Linked DNA regions of Saccharomyces cerevisiae S288C. Changing the gene in region 2 together with the main gene of any one other region gives a genetic interaction. Each region holds a gene or a part of one and is shown on either strand. Other genes may lie near its edges.

Evidence for each region. Genes that interact genetically often act in the same process or in processes that back each other up.
Region 1: mutations in DAP1 (region 2) and MGA2 together harm fitness more than expected from each alone (negative genetic interaction), as found in Saccharomyces cerevisiae (2 studies listed by BioGRID).
Region 3: mutations in DAP1 (region 2) and PUN1 together harm fitness more than expected from each alone (negative genetic interaction), as found in Saccharomyces cerevisiae (2 studies listed by BioGRID).

The regions. Positions count from the first base shown.
Region 1 is NC_001141.2:414,190-422,277, reverse strand, and holds MGA2 (Mga2p), read right to left. Parts: upstream 6,155-8,088; coding exon 2,813-6,154; downstream 1-2,812. Other genes in the region: sepiapterin reductase family protein IRC24, read left to right, coding at 1-204; NRE1 (sepiapterin reductase family protein), read left to right, coding at 488-1,252; LYS1 (saccharopine dehydrogenase (NAD+, L-lysine-forming)), read left to right, coding at 1,542-2,663; DAL3 (ureidoglycolate hydrolase), read left to right, coding at 6,661-7,248; malate synthase DAL7, read left to right, coding at 7,599-8,088.
Region 2 is NC_001148.4:226,539-233,895, forward strand, and holds DAP1 (Dap1p), read left to right. Parts: upstream 1-1,775; coding exon 1,776-2,234; downstream 2,235-7,357. Other genes in the region: OYE3 (NADPH dehydrogenase), read right to left, coding at 1-833; MEX67 (Mex67p), read right to left, coding at 2,501-4,300; MRX4 (Mrx4p), read left to right, coding at 4,679-5,971; REV3 (DNA-directed DNA polymerase), read right to left, coding at 6,055-7,357.
Region 3 is NC_001144.5:950,541-955,895, reverse strand, and holds PUN1 (Pun1p), read left to right. Parts: upstream 1-1,751; coding exon 1,752-2,543; downstream 2,544-5,355. Other genes in the region: ESCRT-II subunit protein VPS36, read right to left, coding at 1-886; YLR415C (uncharacterized protein), read left to right, coding at 1,299-1,637; INA1 (Ina1p), read right to left, coding at 2,713-4,740. UniProt on the Saccharomyces cerevisiae protein: Contributes to the wild-type cellular response to nitrogen stress through signaling pathways that regulate the expression of genes involved in amino acid biosynthesis. Required for wild-type filamentous growth, cell growth, and cell-cell adhesion.

The DNA.
Region 1 (8,088 bases), on a different chromosome or scaffold from region 2:
GATATTAGGGAAACATTGGGTCCTCAGGGCATGACACCCAAGGCTCTCGAGAGGTTTACTCAATTGTACAAGACTTCGTCACTGCTGGACCCAAAGGTGCCTGCGGCGGTACTAGCGCAACTCGTCCTGAAAGGTATTCCCGACTCTTTGAACGGTCAATATCTCCGCTACAACGATGAGCGACTGGGGCCGGTGCAGGGCTAGTACTAAACTATATTATGTAAAAGGGTATAGTTATAGTTTTTAGCTACTAAACTTTTATTGGGTTTGCGATGAGCGACAGTTTTGTGCGGCCATTTCTGTGCCAAGAACCGGATTGAATGTATCACCGAAGGAATTCCGCGGTGTTTTCAAAGAAATGAAGAGAAGACAGTATGAACATTAACTTTTGCATATATATACGTAAACGAAAAAGATCAAGTGCAATGGAAGAATATTGTACCTAAAAAAAAGGGTCTAACTACAGCGTGTAACAGGTTAAAAAAACATGGGTAAAGTTATTTTAGTTACAGGTGTTTCCAGAGGTATCGGTAAGTCCATCGTGGATGTTCTTTTCAGTTTGGACAAGGACACGGTTGTTTACGGTGTAGCCAGGTCTGAGGCACCCTTGAAGAAGTTGAAAGAGAAGTATGGCGACAGGTTTTTTTACGTTGTCGGTGATATTACCGAGGATTCCGTGTTGAAGCAGTTGGTTAACGCTGCTGTTAAGGGCCACGGCAAGATCGACTCCTTGGTTGCCAACGCTGGTGTCCTAGAGCCCGTGCAAAATGTCAACGAGATTGATGTCAACGCTTGGAAGAAGCTGTATGACATCAACTTCTTCAGCATTGTTTCCTTGGTTGGCATTGCGTTACCTGAATTGAAGAAGACCAACGGTAACGTGGTATTCGTCAGTTCGGACGCCTGTAACATGTACTTCAGCAGTTGGGGAGCTTACGGTTCTTCAAAAGCCGCTCTGAACCACTTCGCCATGACTCTGGCCAACGAGGAAAGGCAAGTGAAAGCCATTGCCGTCGCCCCAGGTATTGTGGACACAGATATGCAAGTTAACATTAGGGAGAACGTGGGGCCTTCCTCCATGAGTGCAGAGCAATTGAAGATGTTTAGAGGTTTAAAGGAGAATAACCAGTTGCTGGATAGCTCTGTGCCAGCTACAGTTTATGCCAAATTGGCCCTTCATGGTATTCCTGACGGTGTTAATGGACAGTACTTGAGCTATAATGACCCTGCCTTGGCGGACTTTATGCCTTGAGGATAGCAGGTACATATAAATTGTTACATACTAAGTCGATGAGTCAAAAAAGACTCTTATACATTTATACATTTTGCATTATTATTTTTTTTTTCCAGCGGAATTTGGAATTCCGCTCTCAACCGCCAAAATTCCCCTGCGATTTCAGCGACAAAGAGTCATAAAGTCATCCTCGAGAAACCACGATGAAATATATAAAAAGCCCATCTTCCCTGACGGAAACTGGTATTTTAGGAGGCATACCATAAGATAACAACGAAAACGCTTTATTTTTCACACAACCGCAAAAATGGCTGCCGTCACATTACATCTAAGAGCTGAAACTAAACCCCTAGAGGCACGTGCTGCCTTAACACCTACCACGGTTAAAAAACTGATAGCTAAGGGCTTCAAAATATATGTAGAGGACAGTCCACAATCTACTTTCAATATTAACGAATATCGTCAAGCAGGTGCCATTATAGTGCCTGCAGGTTCATGGAAAACCGCTCCACGCGACAGAATCATTATAGGTTTGAAGGAAATGCCTGAAACCGATACTTTCCCTCTAGTCCACGAACACATCCAGTTTGCTCACTGCTACAAAGACCAAGCTGGGTGGCAAAATGTCCTTATGAGATTTATTAAGGGACACGGTACTCTATATGATTTGGAATTTTTGGAAAATGACCAAGGTAGAAGAGTTGCTGCCTTTGGATTTTACGCTGGGTTCGCAGGTGCAGCCCTTGGTGTAAGAGACTGGGCATTCAAGCAAACGCATTCTGACGATGAAGACTTGCCTGCAGTGTCGCCTTACCCCAATGAAAAGGCATTGGTTAAAGATGTTACCAAAGATTATAAAGAAGCCTTAGCCACCGGAGCCAGAAAGCCAACCGTGTTAATCATTGGTGCGCTAGGAAGATGTGGTTCCGGTGCCATCGATCTGTTGCACAAAGTTGGTATTCCAGATGCTAACATATTAAAATGGGATATCAAAGAAACTTCCCGTGGTGGTCCCTTTGACGAAATTCCACAAGCTGATATTTTTATCAATTGTATATATCTATCGAAGCCAATTGCTCCTTTCACTAACATGGAGAAACTGAATAATCCTAACAGAAGACTAAGGACCGTGGTGGACGTATCAGCAGACACTACCAACCCTCACAACCCCATCCCAATATACACTGTGGCTACTGTGTTTAACAAACCTACCGTTCTGGTACCTACCACTGCCGGGCCTAAATTATCTGTCATCTCTATTGATCACTTGCCTTCTTTGCTGCCAAGAGAAGCTTCAGAATTTTTCTCTCATGATCTCTTACCATCTTTAGAGCTCCTACCTCAAAGAAAAACTGCTCCTGTCTGGGTTAGAGCCAAGAAATTGTTCGATAGACATTGCGCTCGTGTTAAAAGATCTTCAAGATTGTAGTTTACATTTAAAGTATATACATTATCGTTACGCTGACATTTACAAGTTTAATTTTTTTTTGACTTTTTTTAAATGACTTTCTCTTCTTTTAAGTGTACTGTCTTTTCATTATACACACATATATATATATATATACGTAAAAAAGCAGACTAACTGACAATTAAATCGTTCAACATTCTTGTTGTTTGCAGGTTTGATAATTTTGACCTGAATGCAGTTTTCATCCTTTCATTTCCCAGCAAGAACTTTGCTAATGCAATTCTCAAGTACTCTGAGATTAATTCGCTTATATGATTGATGGAACTATCTTGGTTGCCAAATTTGTACATGATGAACCATGTCAAAAGTAGTAGTGTTAAGGGTATCCAGAAAAATATTAACATTTTATCATTTCGGAAGTTTTGTTTGTTTTGGAAGAATCTGTTAAACTGTTTTTTCAAAAATTCTTCCTCTTCCTCATAATCCTCTTCCTCCGAATTTTCAGAGTTTTCAATATTAGATGCTGACTGCTCCACAATACTGTCTTGATTTGTGGTTTTCAATTTATCATCTTTACCCCAAGACAACGGGAACAGATCCTCATATTTTGGTAAGTCATCATTAATTCGATGTAAAACTCTATTCCAGAGAGATGTACTACCATTATCCTCTTCGGGTTCGTTGGCGCTAGATCCAATATCAAGGAGTTCGCTTTGTTCCTCCCTGCATGCAACACCTGGTTTTTCTACTTCGTCAGTGACGAACAGATCTTCATCCCCGTCTTCTTCGAAATCACTTTGGTCGTACTCAGAGTAACTTGAATTCTCAAATAGTTGCAAGGTTGGATGCTGAATCTCCATAGAAGTGGGATTTATCATGCTTTGGCTTTCGAATAAGTTCTCATTCAAAGATTCATTGTCTAGCAGGCTTGAATTGAAACTGGATTGTGAATATTTCCTGCTAATAGAATAATTACTGTCTGTTTCTACACTATCGGTAAACTTCGTACCGTTTTGGAATTCTTCAAACAATGACAATACTTCGCTGATATAAGTGTCATTATGAACAAACTTATGGTTGTCTCTGTTATCTTGTTTTTTGTCTATTTCCTTTGAATGAATGTGGTTTGCTATGAATACTTCTCTTGCAGTTAATCCGTTGTGTGACCTCAGTGAATAATTTACTTTACAATTTAAAAGCATCTTAATAATTTTAGGGTCACCACTTATGCAAGCAAAATGTAATGGAGTTAGCCCAAAGGAATCAATATCGTTAACACGAGCACCCTTTTTAATCAATGTATACACAAGGCTTGAGTAATTTTTCAAACAGGCAAGATGTAATAAAGTTCTCCCTAATGAATCACATATGGAAATATTGGAATTTATGTTCAATGATTTTATAACTTTTTGTATCAAGACTTCATCGGAGTAAAGAACACTTGTGTTCAGATTCATACTGTGTTGGTTTGGAGAGGGACCTGTGCTTTTTGAACAGCTGTTGCCATTTGTACCGCTATCAGGAGAATCATTGCCAACAATCCTCTTCGCGATATTTCTTGCATCTTCTAACTTACCATTCATTTTTAATCCCACAATTTGCAAAGCCAATTCAATCAGTTGCCTATCAGTATCATCAACATAGGTAAATATGGCCTTTTTATTGTCATTGATCTCAATTTCTTGGGGAAGGTCATCGTTATTATTTTCATTATTCGTATCAGTAATAGAGACGAAAACTTGACCCGCGTAGGCAGCGGGAGGGAGATAAGTGACGATCGTGGTCTCACTCCAGCATTGCGTAGAAAGGGCAAGATTAGAGCCGAACTTTACAGAAAGACCATCTTTGAAGTTACAACCCAGTAATGTAACTTCGATACCACCATTGATTGGGCCTTGTGAAGGTATAACGCGATTAATTGATGGCAAATTATTGTTGTTGTTTTTCATTGAGAAATCTTGCATTGAATGTAAAGCTGGATTCATCGTATTTGTTGCACTGATTGAATTTGAAAAGGAATGCTTGAATAGGGGTTTACCAATGTCATTTTCCAAATTATTGCGTGCTCTTTTCCGTTGGTTCAATTGACTCTGTTGTTCAATATTTGTCAAAGAGATAGTACGGACGGGATTGTCATTATCGCGATGATGATAGTTAAATGATTCTGAGCCTTCTTCGCTCATAGATGTTGGTGATGGAATATGCTGATTGGGCAGAGAAAGGTTCAGTGATAAGTTATTGTTCTGAAGCAAATCTGTCTGTTGAGAGATGGAATATGGGAATGGTACGTTTTTGTCTTTCAGTGGAATATTATTCATTTGACTGTCATTATCATATGGGTTGTGTTGATAAGTATATTGAAATGGCATATTTTCGTCTTTGCTCAATTGGTTGTTATCCGTTGAATAATATTCTGTGGTAGATTCTTCTTCCGTTAGCTGCCTTCTGGACGAGGTAGTAGTGTTATTAAACTTGGTGGTATCCATATTTGCTGGTTTTCTATCCGTGATCATAATAGGTGTTGTCGTAAACTTACCCAACAGTCTATTTTGCCAATCTGTTATAGTGAATAATATGACAAAGCCATTATTTGCCTTATGGTGCCTGCAATAACAAACTAGCCTGGTAGTTAATTCAAACTCCTTAACATTATCGAAAGTTTTCATTATGGGGAAAACCTGTTTGTTATTGAACACGACTAACCTTCTATTAATATTATTACACCAGAGTAAATTGTCTGCAATACCTGATTTCCTTCTAGCGGCTCTTCTTTGTTCTCGCTTAACACACTTGGTACAAACATTTGTCGTTCTGTTGCTGACCGCACATAGAACAAACGCATTGATGTACAGAAGATTTTTCTTGAAGTCTTCTGAAAAATCCTCGATATTTTTTTTTAAATAAAACTTTTCTCTTGAAATGGAATCGCTAGGCAAGTAAAGCATGCTTTGGTTTAGTGGTGTTTCAGACGTAATTTTCACTTTCAGTTTCAGTTGATTTTCCACTCTAGATACTTGTGGCAAACCTGAGACCTCTACATCCAAAGGTAGCTGCGCTGCGTTCACTTTAAGGTAATCTAAAGGATTTATGTAAACAGATTGAATCGTCTCCTTTCTTCCAAATACAATCTCGTCATGAGCAGGGTTGCCTATATTTTTTTCATTAAAAACCTTATTTTCATGCTCGTCCTCTTCTTCCTCCTTCAAGGCTCTGTTACTTTCCATTTCCTCCTCCAGTGGAGTGGACACGTTTTGGTTGACATGAGTATTGTTACCGATACCTTCGAAAGACAACAGGTTGGGCGAATCACCCTCATCTGTCTTGATAAAATTTTGGAAATTAGCACCCTCATCAATATTAATATGCGCCATGCTATCATCCTGGTACATGGGAGACCCGTTCAGGAGGAAATCGTCCAAGAGCTGTGATTCCATTACGCTATTCGCGTGCAATTGAGATATATGAGGGTCGCTTCCAGGTGTTTCCGTTAAGAACTCACTGTTCTGCTGCATAACGAAATGTTCTGTTCGCCAAAATGACCTTCAATAAGTGCCTTTAAATGCACAATAAGGGGGGGAAGCAGGATCTAGTCTTAACGACCCCAAGAACGACTGTTGATCAAGCGCCGCTGTCCTTTTAAAAGGCTTTCGGCGGCTGTATTTTCTGGTTTAGAGCTCACCCATTTGAAAATGTTGAGTTTTTTGTCATGATCCACGATATAAAAAGAAATACGACATTTCTAGGGTAACATCAGAATGCCCTTGCTTTTATTGTTAGGGTTATTTTCAAAAGTAGAATTTTGGAAATAAGTCCTAGCCTTTTTGTAACACTAACCCTGAGACAAAGTGCCAGATAAGATAAGATGGATTGGCAAATAAATGGGGAAAGATAAGCGAGGTAAGACTGATAAGAAGCATATGCGGTCTATTCATGTGCATTCGCATATATAAGTCAGTAACTGTCATCCAATCGCTCTTGATGCTTATCTTGTAGGGCAAAAAATCTTTGAAGCAAAGATATGGTGACCGTGGTGGCGGAGACATTGACGAAAGAGTCCTTCGAGGAGTATGGGACGATAATTTCGCCAGATGAAGAGATTTCAAGGATGCAAAACCTTGAAAAAGGTGCAAACCAGGGAACAGCGATCAAATTGCTTCAAGTAAGCCAGGTAGAGAATAAATCTACCAGTAAAGTTCCCAATTGGAACCTATTCCGTTGCTTTCCACAGCCGCACCTGAATAGAGTATTCACTCAAGGCTCCAATCAGGCGATTTCTCATTCTATCAAAGTCCTCGAAAAGCATCCGTGTAGTACGCAGACGTTTGTGCCTATGGGGAGAACGTCAGCGGAAGTAGCATACTTGGTAGTAGTCGCTAAAGAAATTGGAAATAAGCCAGACTTGTCTACGTTGAGGGCTTTTACATGTTTGGGTAATCAGGCCGTTACCTATGGCTTAGGTACCTGGCATGCGCCCATGATAGTACTTGGCAAGGAAGAACATTTGGATTTTTCAGTCTTAATCTACGAAAGTCTGGACCCTGACAGGCCCGAGAAGGACTGTGTGGAAGAACACTACAGCGATGGCGACGTTTGTATTATCATCTAATTCTGCGACTGTGGGCGAAGTAAATATGTAAATGTTCATGTATTAGTAATTTCATAGGTTTACGATTATCGACATAAAATCTCCGCTGAAAGTTGCGGTGCGATAGAATACCGCGGATTTTGGAAAATTGCGTTTGCTTTTCTTATCACATAAATTGAATTTCATAAGTTTTGGCTTATCTTGGATAAGGTACATCGTGAAAGTATCACAAAGATTGGATAGTTTCGTCAATTGGTGAAGCAATAAGTATAAAATGGGGACATTTACGCATGTAGTCTTAATTCTTCACTTTCTGTGCAGTTGATATCACTTAGAGTATGTGTCATAGGCACGGTAAAGAGCACTGAACAATGGTGAAGATAAGCTTGGACAACACTGCTCTATACGCAGACATCGACACGACTCCTCAATTTGAACCTTCCAAAACTACTGTAGCTGATATTTTAACAAAAGATGCCTTAGAGTTCATTGTTTTGCTGCATAGAACTTTCAATTCAACACGGAAACAGCTTTTAGCCAACAGAAGCAATTTACAATCAAAGTTAGACTCTGGTGAATACCGATTTGATTTCTTGCCGGAAACCGAACAAATCAGGAACGATCCTACATGGCAAGGTGCTATCCCAGCCCCTGGTTTGATCAACAGATCCAGCGAGATTACTGGGCCACCATTGAGAAATATGTTAGTCAACGCTTTGAATGCTGAAGTAACGACATATATGACTGATTTCGAGGACTCTTCATCTCCAACTTGGGAGAACATGATTTACGGACAAGTTAATCTTTATGATGCCATTAGAAATCAAATCGATTTCAAGACACCAAGAAAGGAGTACAGGT
Region 2 (7,357 bases):
TTTGCCCTCTTCTCTAATTCACCCAAAACATACGAATATTGAGCGATAATACCTGGTTCAGCACCCCCAGACATACTGTTAAAAGTGCCGTACGGCGACAACCTCAAACCCACCCGTTCAGGACCGATAGTTTCGATAAGAGCATCGACAACCTCCAGTGTAAAGCGGGCCCTGTTTTCGATCGTTCCGCCGTATTCGTCGGTCCTCTTATTAGAATGTGGATCCAAGAACTGATTCAACAAGTACCCATTGGCGCTATGAATTTCTACACCATCGGCGCCAGCCGCGATAGAATTCTTAGCCGCATGGATGTAATCCTTGATATACTGTTTAATGTCGTCTTTAGTCAAACTATGTTCGAGATTATTCGCATCTTTGGCCTTTTCTTGTAACGTAGCATTCATATACACTCTGTCAGATGCACAGTCATAGCGTAACCCGTCTCTTGCCAATACGTCTGGGAAGGATGCCCAGCCTAAAGACCAAAGTTGTACCCACGCGAACGACTGACAATCATGGATGGCTAAAAAGATATTCTTCCACTCAGCGACCTGCTCATCAGACCAAATCCCAGGGGCGTTGTCATAGCCGCCGGCTTGAGGGGAAATAAACGTACCTTCCGTGATGATCATGGTACCAGGTCTTTGAGCACGCTGACCATAATACACAGCAGCCCACTCCTTATTTGGAATATTTCCGGGGTGAGTGGCCCTCATTCTGGTCAATGGGGGCATAACCGCACGATGTGCAAGCTGAGTGTTACCAATCTTAATTGGTTCAAAAAGGTTTGTGTCTCTTAGGGAGATCGGCTCAAAACCTTTTACAAATGGCATCTTCTAAATTTAAACTTCGCTATACTGAACTACAGTTGTTGTATATATCAAGTACGTACTTTTTTGCATATGATGGGCAAGAATCAAGCACAGTTCACAACCCTTATATAGGTTCGAGTTGTCCTACTTACAACACTGTGCTTAGTAATGGTTATTGCGACTTTATCCTTGTTCTGAACGGAGTTATATCAGGAACGCAAACTGCTTACTAAGGAGCCCTTCTAAGGAGCCCTCCGCAAATAATAGGATCGGCAATTTCAGACGGAGGACGGAGCCGCCTAAGTGCCAAGAACATTAAAGAAGAAAGAAATAAACCTTGAGCGGCTACACGAAACAGTGGTCAAGAGTAGAATCTCTGAAACGTCGAACCCTCTTTGTCAGTTATCGCGGGCATATTCTGAGAAGAAGCAATATACAACAAACGAGCAGGACAGATTAAAATTTTCAAGGCGAGGTAAGCTGTGCCAGATCAGTGTGGGACGACGCTCAGTAGTTGGCGATCGAAGCACGTGATCAGTTTTCCACATCCGTGATTTGGCGCAAATTACCATGTGAGCGTGCGGGAATAAGCTCCTTTATTTGCGGAGCGACAAAGGAAACGAGACCATATTACCCTACCTTCCTTGTTTTATTTTACTTTTTTTTCTAATTTTAATTTTCTTCGTTCCTTCAACTGTATGTACCCTTTTTCTACCGGAAATAAGACGGTCGTAGTGTCCGCGTTTTTGGTTCTTTAACGACAAGACATCAGTGCCTTCTCGCATTTTTGTTGAATTGTATTGTATTATGCTCGATGTTTCCAGAACGATATATACATCTGAGAGTTTATATATCAACGATCATTTTCTTGTTGCAGTAAGCTATAATAGACGCGTCAAATAGTCTAACCAGTCTAAATCTCATCAGCCACACACACGTACATCGGAATATTATAGAGAACAAATGTCCTTCATTAAAAACTTGTTATTTGGAGGTGTTAAAACAAGTGAGGATCCAACCGGGCTCACAGGTAACGGGGCCTCAAACACAAACGATTCTAATAAAGGTAGTGAACCGGTAGTAGCGGGTAATTTCTTTCCTAGGACGCTTTCCAAATTTAACGGCCACGACGATGAAAAAATATTTATTGCTATTAGGGGCAAAGTATACGACTGCACAAGAGGGAGGCAGTTTTACGGTCCAAGCGGGCCATACACTAACTTTGCAGGCCATGATGCGTCGCGTGGTCTTGCATTGAACTCCTTCGATCTGGACGTTATTAAAGATTGGGATCAGCCTATCGATCCCTTAGATGATCTGACAAAAGAACAGATTGACGCACTGGATGAGTGGCAAGAGCATTTTGAGAATAAGTACCCATGCATTGGTACTCTGATTCCGGAGCCTGGCGTGAACGTATGACGATTGAGCTCCGCACATTATTTATTAATAGCAAACACCAAGGAAAGGGAAAAAGGAAGGGGCGTGGTGGACGATGATATATGTATACATATACATATCTATATTTTGAAAAAATCTTCTATATAACGGTTGTATAGAAATAATTACTTATTTATGAATTAGTACAAAATATACAAAGCATGCTGCTGTTCGGAACGTGACGAAAACAGTAGCTTAAACTGTATATTTTTTGTGATACTGTGCGGCTGAAACAGGGAACAATATCATTAGAACTGCACAAATGCTTCTCTAGGGATGCCATTCATGCTACTCTGAAAACCCTTTATGGCAACTTCATAGTTCCAGTTACTTTGCTCGGCCAACATAAACGTGTATTCTGCATTCAATTTCGTTTCCAAATGTAGTTTATTCAGCAGCTCGAGTTGTACGGGATTTAGCCGCGACTGGACATCTGGAGGTAGTTGCAAAGTGGGAGCCATGACCATGGCTCCTTGGGGTGCGCCGGGAATGCTCATCCCTCCTGGTACCACTGAAGGTTGTGGCTGCGGTGGTGTCGTTATATTTGGGTTCATGCTTGCGACCTGTGGTAGGACCGAGGCCTGTTGCTGTGGAGGCTGTGCTATTGCAATAGATGCAGTTTTCCAAGCGCCTGTGGAATACGCTCTTACAGTTAACAGATCAGATGCGATTATGACACTATTATTCATTGGAACAATTACCCAGGTTCTATCAAAGGATTTTTTGGATAACTTATTATTTGATGTGGAGTTGTAACCATGATTGTATCTTCTATTCTTTTGATAGTTATTTTTCCCCGTTTTTTTATTGGATTCCAGTTCAGGCTTGCCAGTCTCTTCAAAAAATCCGTGCAACGTAATAACGAACCCATTTATTTGAGGATAACTAATTGTTTCCATTGAGTATTCATTGGGTTGTTCTTGTAAATGGTGCTTTGTTTTCGGCAAAGTCTTGAATATACTATTAATGGACTCTTGCCCGATTGACAATCTCTGCTGGATAGATTTTTCACTGGACACTTTGGATATATTACGTGAGGACGACATGTAATAACCAAATGCTGGAGTTTGGTCCGAATCTGTTACCGTAGATGGAGGAATAGTAGAATCCACGGAAACAGAAAACTGGGATTGGGGCGAATACAAATTTAACAGTTGTTCTCTATTATTATCCCATAGATTCAAAAAGTTAGTTGCAAAGTCTGTAGATGATTGCCCTAATGCATCGTTTTCGAAAAAAAACTGTTGAATCTTCATCGGTAATGAGTAAACGGTTTGCAATTTTTGTTCGTCTCTCACAATCACGTTATCTAGTACAACCAATTTCGGAAATAATCTTAACATTTCAGTGCGATACAACTTATCGGTGGTTATCGGGTTATTTGTCATCAAAAGCTCTCTTAGATCTTTGAATTTGTTCTTCCAAACTTCTAGCGATCTAAATCTAAAAATCTGATTGTTGGCCAGACAGAGGTTTTTCAAATTAGGAAATGTTTGAGCCAATGTGGAAATTGCTGAGATGTCCTTAAGTTGGTTGTCAGCAAGATTGACACTTTCCACTATCAAACTTTTTTCTGTAGAAGCCAGTTTCATCATTGCTGGAAACATCTTAGACTGGGTGGAGATGGAACTAAAGACGCCCTTTTGAATTAGCTCGGGATCTGAATGTAAAGCGCCCAAATTTAGTAATTTTGTTTGTGGGTCATACCTCTTAAGGAGCACCCCCCTCAAGAACGAAATGGTGTCTGAAGTTCCCGCAGAGGCCCCATTGTTATCTAAAAGTTCGAACTTTAAATTACTGCCTGCAAACCGGACACCGTTCCATTTCATTAACGATTCTGCTTCTGCCTTTGAGTTGACATATCCAATAACTAAAGGTCCTTCCACATGAGCGTCATAAACAGCTACTCGAGCGTTGCGGCTTATAAAATTAATCAAATCGTTCATGGTTGCATTCTGCCAGTTCCTCACGCTAATCTTTATTCTATTTTGTTGCATCTGCTGTTGAGCCATCATATTGATATTTCCAACATTGTGAAATCCGCTCATTTTTTTTGCTGCTATTAGCGATGCAGAATTTTTAACGATTTATTTTACTCTTCCTTCTTAGAGTAAGTATGTCTTCAACAGTCTGTTACTATTTTTTTTTCTACATACTCAATTCAGCTCTTACTGAAATTTTCTTCTGGAAAAAAAAGGAAGACGGGTAATGATGATCTTATATAACAGTATAATCTGTAGGTATATTTATCGTTAGAATCCTCTACGAAAGGCAAGTGGGCATGGATTTCTAGCTTTTGAAGCCGCGTTTAAGTTTCTTCAGAATTAATATTCGTAGAAATTTTCTGTTCTTTGCTTCTTTTCTGAGCTTTGGTGGAATAAACTTGGTTCCATTCAACTTAAAGGAAGGAGGAAGTACTGTTCAAAATGACAGTTTTATACACATCTGCATCGCTGAAAAAAATGAAGTGCTTGGCATTCAACATGGGCATGAATTGCGTACGAACAGTATCTCATGCAAGAAGTGGAGGTGCAAAATTTGGAGGACGGAATGTATTTAATATATTTGACTCAAAAACTCCTGATTCAGTGCGTATAAAGGCCTTCAAAAACACAATATACCAGTCTGCCATGGGCAAAGGTAAGACCAAGTTTTCTGCAATGGAAATTAATCTCATAACAAGTCTAGTGCGCGGATATAAAGGAGAAGGTAAGAAGAACGCGATAAATCCTCTCCAAACTAACGTGCAAATTCTTAACAAATTATTACTAACACATCGATTAACAGACAAAGACATATTAGAAGGAATGAACCTGGCAGCCGGTCCTGTCAATGTTGCTATTCCTCGAGACATAACACCGCAGGAAGAAAAGAAGAAAGTTGAACTAAGAAATCGAAAAGCAGAGAATATGGATCTTCACCCGAGCAGGAAGATGCATATTAAGGAACTTCTACACTCTTTGAACTTAGATATGTGTAATGATGAGGAGGTTTATCAGAAAATATCACTTTACTTACAGAAAAATGAGGAAAGCAGGACTTCAGTGGGTGCCTCGCAACAAAACCACGTAGATATCGATATAAACTCCCTAAAACGCTATCTACAAAATATTGAAAAGAAGGCACGTCAAAAAAGTGCCATCGATAAACAAAAAAAGAATCAAGCTCGTATATATCAATGGAATACTCAATCCTTCTCCGAAATAGTACCCTTATCAGCTGGAAATATCTTATTCAAAAGGGAACCCAATCGCTTATGGAAACGTTTACAAAATGGAATAAGTGTATTTTTAGGTTCAAACGGAGGAGGAAAAAAGAGTAAAACTACTAAAAAAGTACTTCAAGGGAATAACATATTGTTACACTCATTAGAAAACAATAAGGATATGACCCTGTCAAACAACTTTGATCACAGTGTCTTTAACATCAATTTTACGGACTTATTTGGCGTTATTAATGCATCTGGGTCCCCACCAGATAGAGTTTTGAACGAAATTAATGAGATCGAATTAAAAGGTTGGAAATGTGTGGGGAACTTATACGATAATAATAAAATTGTAGTTTTTCAAAGTAGCAATCCACTCTTAGAGGATACGAAGATTCCTCAAAAGTCTTTCACTAATTCAAAGAGATTCCTTATTTCACTCTCAGCATTGCTGGCCTCCTTTTTTGCATATTATAGATACCGTCTATCTCAACGTCAAGAATCAAAGAAATGATTTTTTTCTTTCTTGTATATAACAACGTTATACATAGAAACAAATAACTACTCATCATTTTGCGAGACATATCTGTGTCTAGATTACCAATCATTTAGAGATATTAATGCTTCTTCCCTTTGAACAGATTGATTATCTCTCAAGTATCTTTCTGCTTTGACACGAGAGTAAAATACTGGACAGTCATATGAATTGCATTTACTAGCTATATGGTCATTTTCGATGCCTGCATCGGAAGTGTAACGATAACTGCACGTCCTGCACACGGTCTTTAGTGTTTGGTATTCTTTTTGTCTCTTTAATTTCTTTATGAGAAATGATAAGGTTGTGGTGCTTCTTTTCTCTAAACAGTCATCACATAACTGAAGTGAACATATTTTAGTCAATTCTTCACCACAATTACAACATGTTGCAGAAGTTCCTACTCTTGTTATGTTTTCCACTTTTGTAGTAGTTGTGCTCGCCCTTTTGGATTTTACTATTTCCTGAGCCCAGTTGCCAACATTTATACCAATCAAATTGAACAATCTATCAAGAGGAGGTATCAGAATTTTGTTTATATAATACTCCGAATCTAACTCTAAATTCTCACCTTCTAAGAACTCTTCTGGTGATACGCATCTTTCCCGAAGCAGTTGTCCTTGCTTTCCTTTAACAACAAGGTAAGGTATACGCTCCTTGTATTGGGGTTCTGCTCTATGGTCTTCATTTATTCTTCTTTTTACAACCACGGCACCTGCAGGGGCTGTCTTTTCGCTTTTATACGCTCCTAATTTAACTTCTTTTGCAAAACAAAAATCTTGGGCAGATACCTTTCCTATTTGAATCTTAAAAAATTCATTTTGAAGATACTTTTTTATTTTTGACAGGTCTTTGGTTTGAAAAAGTAATCGAATACATTTTTCAATAATCTTCTGCTGGGCTGGGATACCATCCCTTCTAACAGTTTCAATACCCTTAGCATCAAAAATAGGAAGGGTCTGCGAAGGACTTTCATAGGAAAATCCTACGTACCTTTTTTTGCTAATTAATATGGAGGGATGGTATACTTTTTCAAACTTCAAAAAGATTGGTTTTGGATTGTTTTGAGTAACTCTTTCTGCCATAGCATGTCCTATAGAAAAAGCCTCAATAGCAGTTTTTCCAGGTAGATATACAAATAAACTATCTGTGTCTCCATAGACAACTTTGGCGTTCCAAGTTTCATCTTTCTCAATAATATCTATTGCTTTCTCCAATGTTTCTCTGCCTGTTTGTACAATGCTATCAGCTAAATCAGAGCATGGCATTCGTCCAGAAAATGAAGCTGATGTATAACCGTAGGTGACATTCGCCAATAATTTTAGTGCTAACTGTTTGTTATTCAAAAGCCTTTTTAGGGTAGTG
Region 3 (5,355 bases), on a different chromosome or scaffold from region 2:
TTACAGAAACCACATTCTGATTGAAAATATGCTTATTCTTTTCAGTGAGTATATTCTCCAAAGCCCTCTCTGTAGCTTGTGAAAACAATACGCCATCAGATTTGCGGAAACTCAATTGCACGAATTCTGTCGATGATCCTGTCGAGGACGAGGACGATAATGCCGAGTGCGAGCTCTTGTTTCTAGCCAGTGAATTTTTTTCTAGCTCAATATGGACCCTAGAATCATGAAAGTTTAGCCTGTTCAGCTTTGATCGTACTTTGGATGCATTAGGCAATCTGTGGCCGCAAATCTCGCAATTTCCTATTTGAGGATGATTAGCAAAAGTACAGGCGGGGCAAATGTTCTCAGAGTTCACTCCGAACTGATTCTGTGGGTTGGCGTTCGGGTCGATTGCATTAGAACAATTTATAGACGACTTGGTGAGCTCATAGTCCGCTGGCACACCGCAATTGATACAAATGGGTGTAGGTAGAGTGTCTTTAGTGAATTCCCCCTGCGTTTCGTTCGAAACCATACAGATGGGGCAGACCCACGTCGAAACAACGTCGGCACTTGCTGTTTCCGCACTTTTACCAAGTTCATCCTTACTGGAGGGGTCCTTGAAAAACAGGATCAGACGAGGTGATCTGGTCAAGAAGCCAGATGAATAGTTTACATACGCTAGATCGTCCAATTCCAACCCAAGCGAGTTCTGAGTGGGCTTTGCATCGTCGATGTAGATAATTCTTTGTGACGTTAAAAAGATTCTGCCCCTCTGTCGCTGTAGAATCTTAGATTTGCCATGGTAAAGACCTACGGACTGATCGATAAAGATATCTTTTTCACCTTCTCGAAGAAGAGGTTGGCCCGATGACGTAGTTTCCACATAATGCCAGTACTCCATCTTTTGAAAAAAAAAGAATGACTTTCAAAACACACTTCCTGATTCCTAGCCGAGGTCCCCTATTCTATCTTGGATGACCTTTTCTCTGCTTTTTTGTTTTTCAGTCTCCATCTTTTCCAGATGAAACATGTGAAACCCTTTTTCCTCTTCGTTGATCCTAAAAAAAGCGCGTCTGGAAAACAAGGCGAAGCTTCCTCACATGGAAAAGGCTTCTTAATATGTCGCTACGCCTCATTCCCATTGCATACAGAAAGCAAAGTAGTGCGTTTTGCGAACGTCACAGATCAAAAGTTTGGCCATGCATTGTCATTCTTTTTTTCTTACATACACTGCACCAGACATGTCGGTTCCGCCCCGCTAACGGTTAGTCAGCCACACATTGACGTACACTGTGAACAGCCTATTTCTTTCCATGTATCTCAGTGCCCAGCTTATGAGAACTGTCACAGCCTCCCACTTGACCCTCAGAGCCCTCTCCACTCCCCCCCTCTTTCAACATCGCCAGATAGCCGCCGTTGAATGGTGCGGGACAACCCGGCCTGGCCTGGCCAGGCAAAAAAGGACGCAGCACGCCTCGAGCGTTATTTCCAAATCGGGCGTACTATCAGCCAAGCCCAGCTCGGTATTTTTAGCGCTTCTCGCAGGAAAATTGGCTGAGAAGTATATATACGCGAGAATGTTGCTCTTCCATGTCTCAGTAGTCAATGAGTGTCCAGTGGTGTTTCATTCTGGACCAGTTGTTTGGAAGTAGAACTAAAAGAAACTAGATCAAGATCATACAACGCTGCGCAGTAGTGAAACTTGATTAAAGCAATAGAGAACTATTAAGAAAAAAACAAACACATCATCGAAGGACGCTATAAGCATGAGGAATTTTTTCACGTTATTTTTTGCAGCTATATTTTCGCTAGGAGCACTTATATTAGCCATTGTTGCATGCGCAGGATCAACGAAAAATTACAGTCCCATAAATAAAATTTACTGTGCAGAATTGGATCTGTCGCAGATGAAGGTATCGACGGTGCTCCCTTCTTTGAGTTCTGCTACGCTATCTTCGTTGGGCCTGCCCTCATATATAAATATAGGGCTTTGGTCGTACTGTACAGTGGACTCCTCGCATAACATCCAATCATGTTCTTCGCCTCACGGTATCCAGAATTTTAACCTATCGTCATTAGTGTATGACAATATCAACAACAATGAGGCTCTGGAGCTTATGGATTCCGTGGCCAGTGTTGTTTTGCCCGAAAAACTAAAAAGTAAAATGACATACTACAACAATTTGGTCAAGTGTATGTTCATTACCATTCTTATTGGTATTGTCTTGACCTTTGTGAATCTAGTGTTCAACGTATTGCGCTGGATCATCCACATAAGGCCGCTAACGTGGTTTGGTGCCTTTTTTTCATTTTTCGCCTTTGCCGCCCTATTAGTCAGTATAGGTTCGTGTTTGGGCACTTACTCATACATCAAATACATCCTAAAGCATAACTATAGTGATTACGGTATTTCAATGAGCATTGGTAGGAACTACCAGGGTTTGATGTGGGGGGCTGTCGTTGGAGCATTACTGAATTTCATTCTATGGTGTAGCGTGAGATCGAGGCCCACCGTCATCTATGCGAACGCTCCAATTGAGGAAAAACCATTGATTTGAATTTGAAAAAGGCAAGGTTATTAATTAATTTTTGTGTTCCGTTTCATATTAAATATGATTAAAATATATTGTCTATATACAATTCAGAAAATTATAATGAAGAAAATTAAAAGGATGGAGAATTGAAAAAATTTACGGGGTGATGTTGCATGATCTTCTTTTTATTATTTTACCTTGCAAAGTTTTTTTCAGCATCAATGGGGCTTTCGTGTTCTTCAATGATTCTTGAGGTAGTAGAGTCACTTTCTTGAACAGCTTTCTCAGCTTCCACGATGGCAGCTCCCTTTCTGCTGCTCCACCAGCAGTATGCAATGCAGAGAAATACAAGGACGGCAAATACAAATCCAGACCACATTAGGCCATAAAATGGAGAAGAGCCAGAAATAATGACATCGTAATTGTCCTTCTTGGAGCCGGATTTCATCATATTAAGGATGACGCTAAAGATTGTGCTTCCCAACCCGCTGAAAATACATATCCAACAGGAAATAAAGCCCAATGCCAACCATAATTTTTGACTCACCACGGAACGTCTACTTAGTAGCAACAAGAATACCATTAAGAAGAAGGATGTGATTATGCACATTAAGTTCATAGCTAAAGCTGCTTTCACTGCTGGGACATACATGTGTTGTCTGTCTTGTAATTCACCATCTAAATGCAAATCGTCCTTACCGATGTTCAGGGCATCCATATAAGGTTTAAAGTCCGAGCCTTCAATGTTGTTGTAAACAATCGACCGGAAATCCATGTTTTGAACAGCGTGTGACTTGCTACACGAGTACATTGTTCTGTTTAAGTGAGCACGACACATTGTGAAAATGGACAAACGGTATATGACAGGGATGTGTAGATATTCAAGGATAGAAGGAGTCATTTCCTTGAGTTGTTCTGGTGTGATAGTTGTCATGTTTACAGCAGAGTTTAAAATTTTCAACATGGGCATAAATGTAGCGGCATTAGTTTCTGCCCATTTGGTGATATTAACCAGAGAAGAGAAACTTGACACGGGGTCGCTTGACGCAGCTAATAGGCTGAACAAGTATGGAACGTACTTAAGTAATACGGTGTTATTGGCCAATTGGGATTCCAAAGTAGGGATTATGGAAACAACTGTGGATGCGTTAGCACTTGCAGAAAGGATTTCATCAAGTGCCACCAATTGGTTAGTAGAGGAAGCGGCTTCTTTAGAGAGGGCCAAACTTTCGACAGATGTTAGCAGCTCTGTTTGGTTTGTAGTGTAATTCAACAAGTCAGTCAAAGCACCCATGGCAGCTTTAGCGGAAGATGATTGGGTAATGTTTTCGGCAATCATAGTGCTCAATACGGATAATGTTACATTTTGAGATGTAGTTTCATCAAACAGAGTAACAACAGCTTGGACAGCTGGTTTTAAACTCGAAGGAACGAGGGAGCCTAATTGCATAATAGTTTCAGTAGCATTGCCACCTTCCGCAAGACTGGTTTTTAGACTAGAAAACAATGAGGAGACCGTTGAAGTTGGAATGGTAGAGTTCATTATGGTTTCTAACGCATCGCATGTGGCAGTAATGTTCTTGGAACTTGCGAATAACTCGAATACAGGCGACAATTTTGTCTTTTCTTCTGTGGTCATATTATTTAAAGTGATCAAAGACTCAGTAGTGCCTATAGGATTGGTCGAATCCACTAATAGGGTTAGAACAGTATTTTCTAAGGAAGCCGAAGTAGAAGAAGTGTTGGTTGACATAGATGACATCAATGTGCTAAACCCATCCAAGAGTTCGGTTGTGTTTTTAGAGGTAGTCAATAACTCATCAAGAGCGGAGAAGGTCGTGGTAGTAGCGGTATTGGTTCCTAGCAAAGCCATTGGAGCCAACTGTGTCAAAGATGATAATGTGGCTGAAGTGTTAGCAGCATTAGACAACAAGTGCAGTAAAGGAGACAAGGCTTCGGTAGAAGCGATTGCCTTAAGAGCGCCGAAGATGGTATCCACCGTTGTATTTGGAGCGGTTAGAGCAGAACCTAACACAGTCAAAATTGGGCCAACTTGTGGCATAACTTTTGTAACGTTGATTTTTGATATATCAGCATCACCGATATAAATGTTCGTTATTGGCTTATAATTTGAGGTAGAACCCGCAGTTGCAATAATGGTCAACAGAAATGTTGTAAGTGTCAATAAAGCACAAATCGGGAGGAGTATTTTAAAATTCATCGCAATAATTTGACTGTATTACTGAATTTTTATTTTACTGTATCAGCATCGCATCTACAAGCTATTATGAAGTAAATGAAAATCTCAAGGCTTAATGTGAGTAAATGCAGCTAGATTGTCAAAGGTTTATATATTTTGTCGTTCTTTTTACAGGAAAAAAAAATTCTGTGTAGAAGTGTAAGATCTATGATTGCAGCAGCTTGAAAAGCGATAAGTTTGTTGAGGATTTAACAATTTCAACTTTTTTTTTAAGCAGAACAATAGATTGACGTAGTTAAATTTGTCTACTAAGATCTGTAGGCAAGTTTTTTTTTTCCAGGGACGACGCCGTATAGAAAAAAGCAACTAGGGAATTTACCAGGCCATAATGCGGTGGATTCAAGCTAAACGAGTACTGAGGGGAACTTTAATCTTCAAGGCGGTATCCAGGCGGATTTACGAAGCAACTGACGGAGTGCTGCAGGAATTTAAAGGAGAGTTCTGGAGCGCTTAAATGCACCTAAACAGTATCCACGGAACATACTGTACTAAATACACGTCAAACGGGAACATTTCAAAAAAAACTTAATAATATAACTCAGTTTTTTTACATAGTGATAAAAGTGATATATTCAA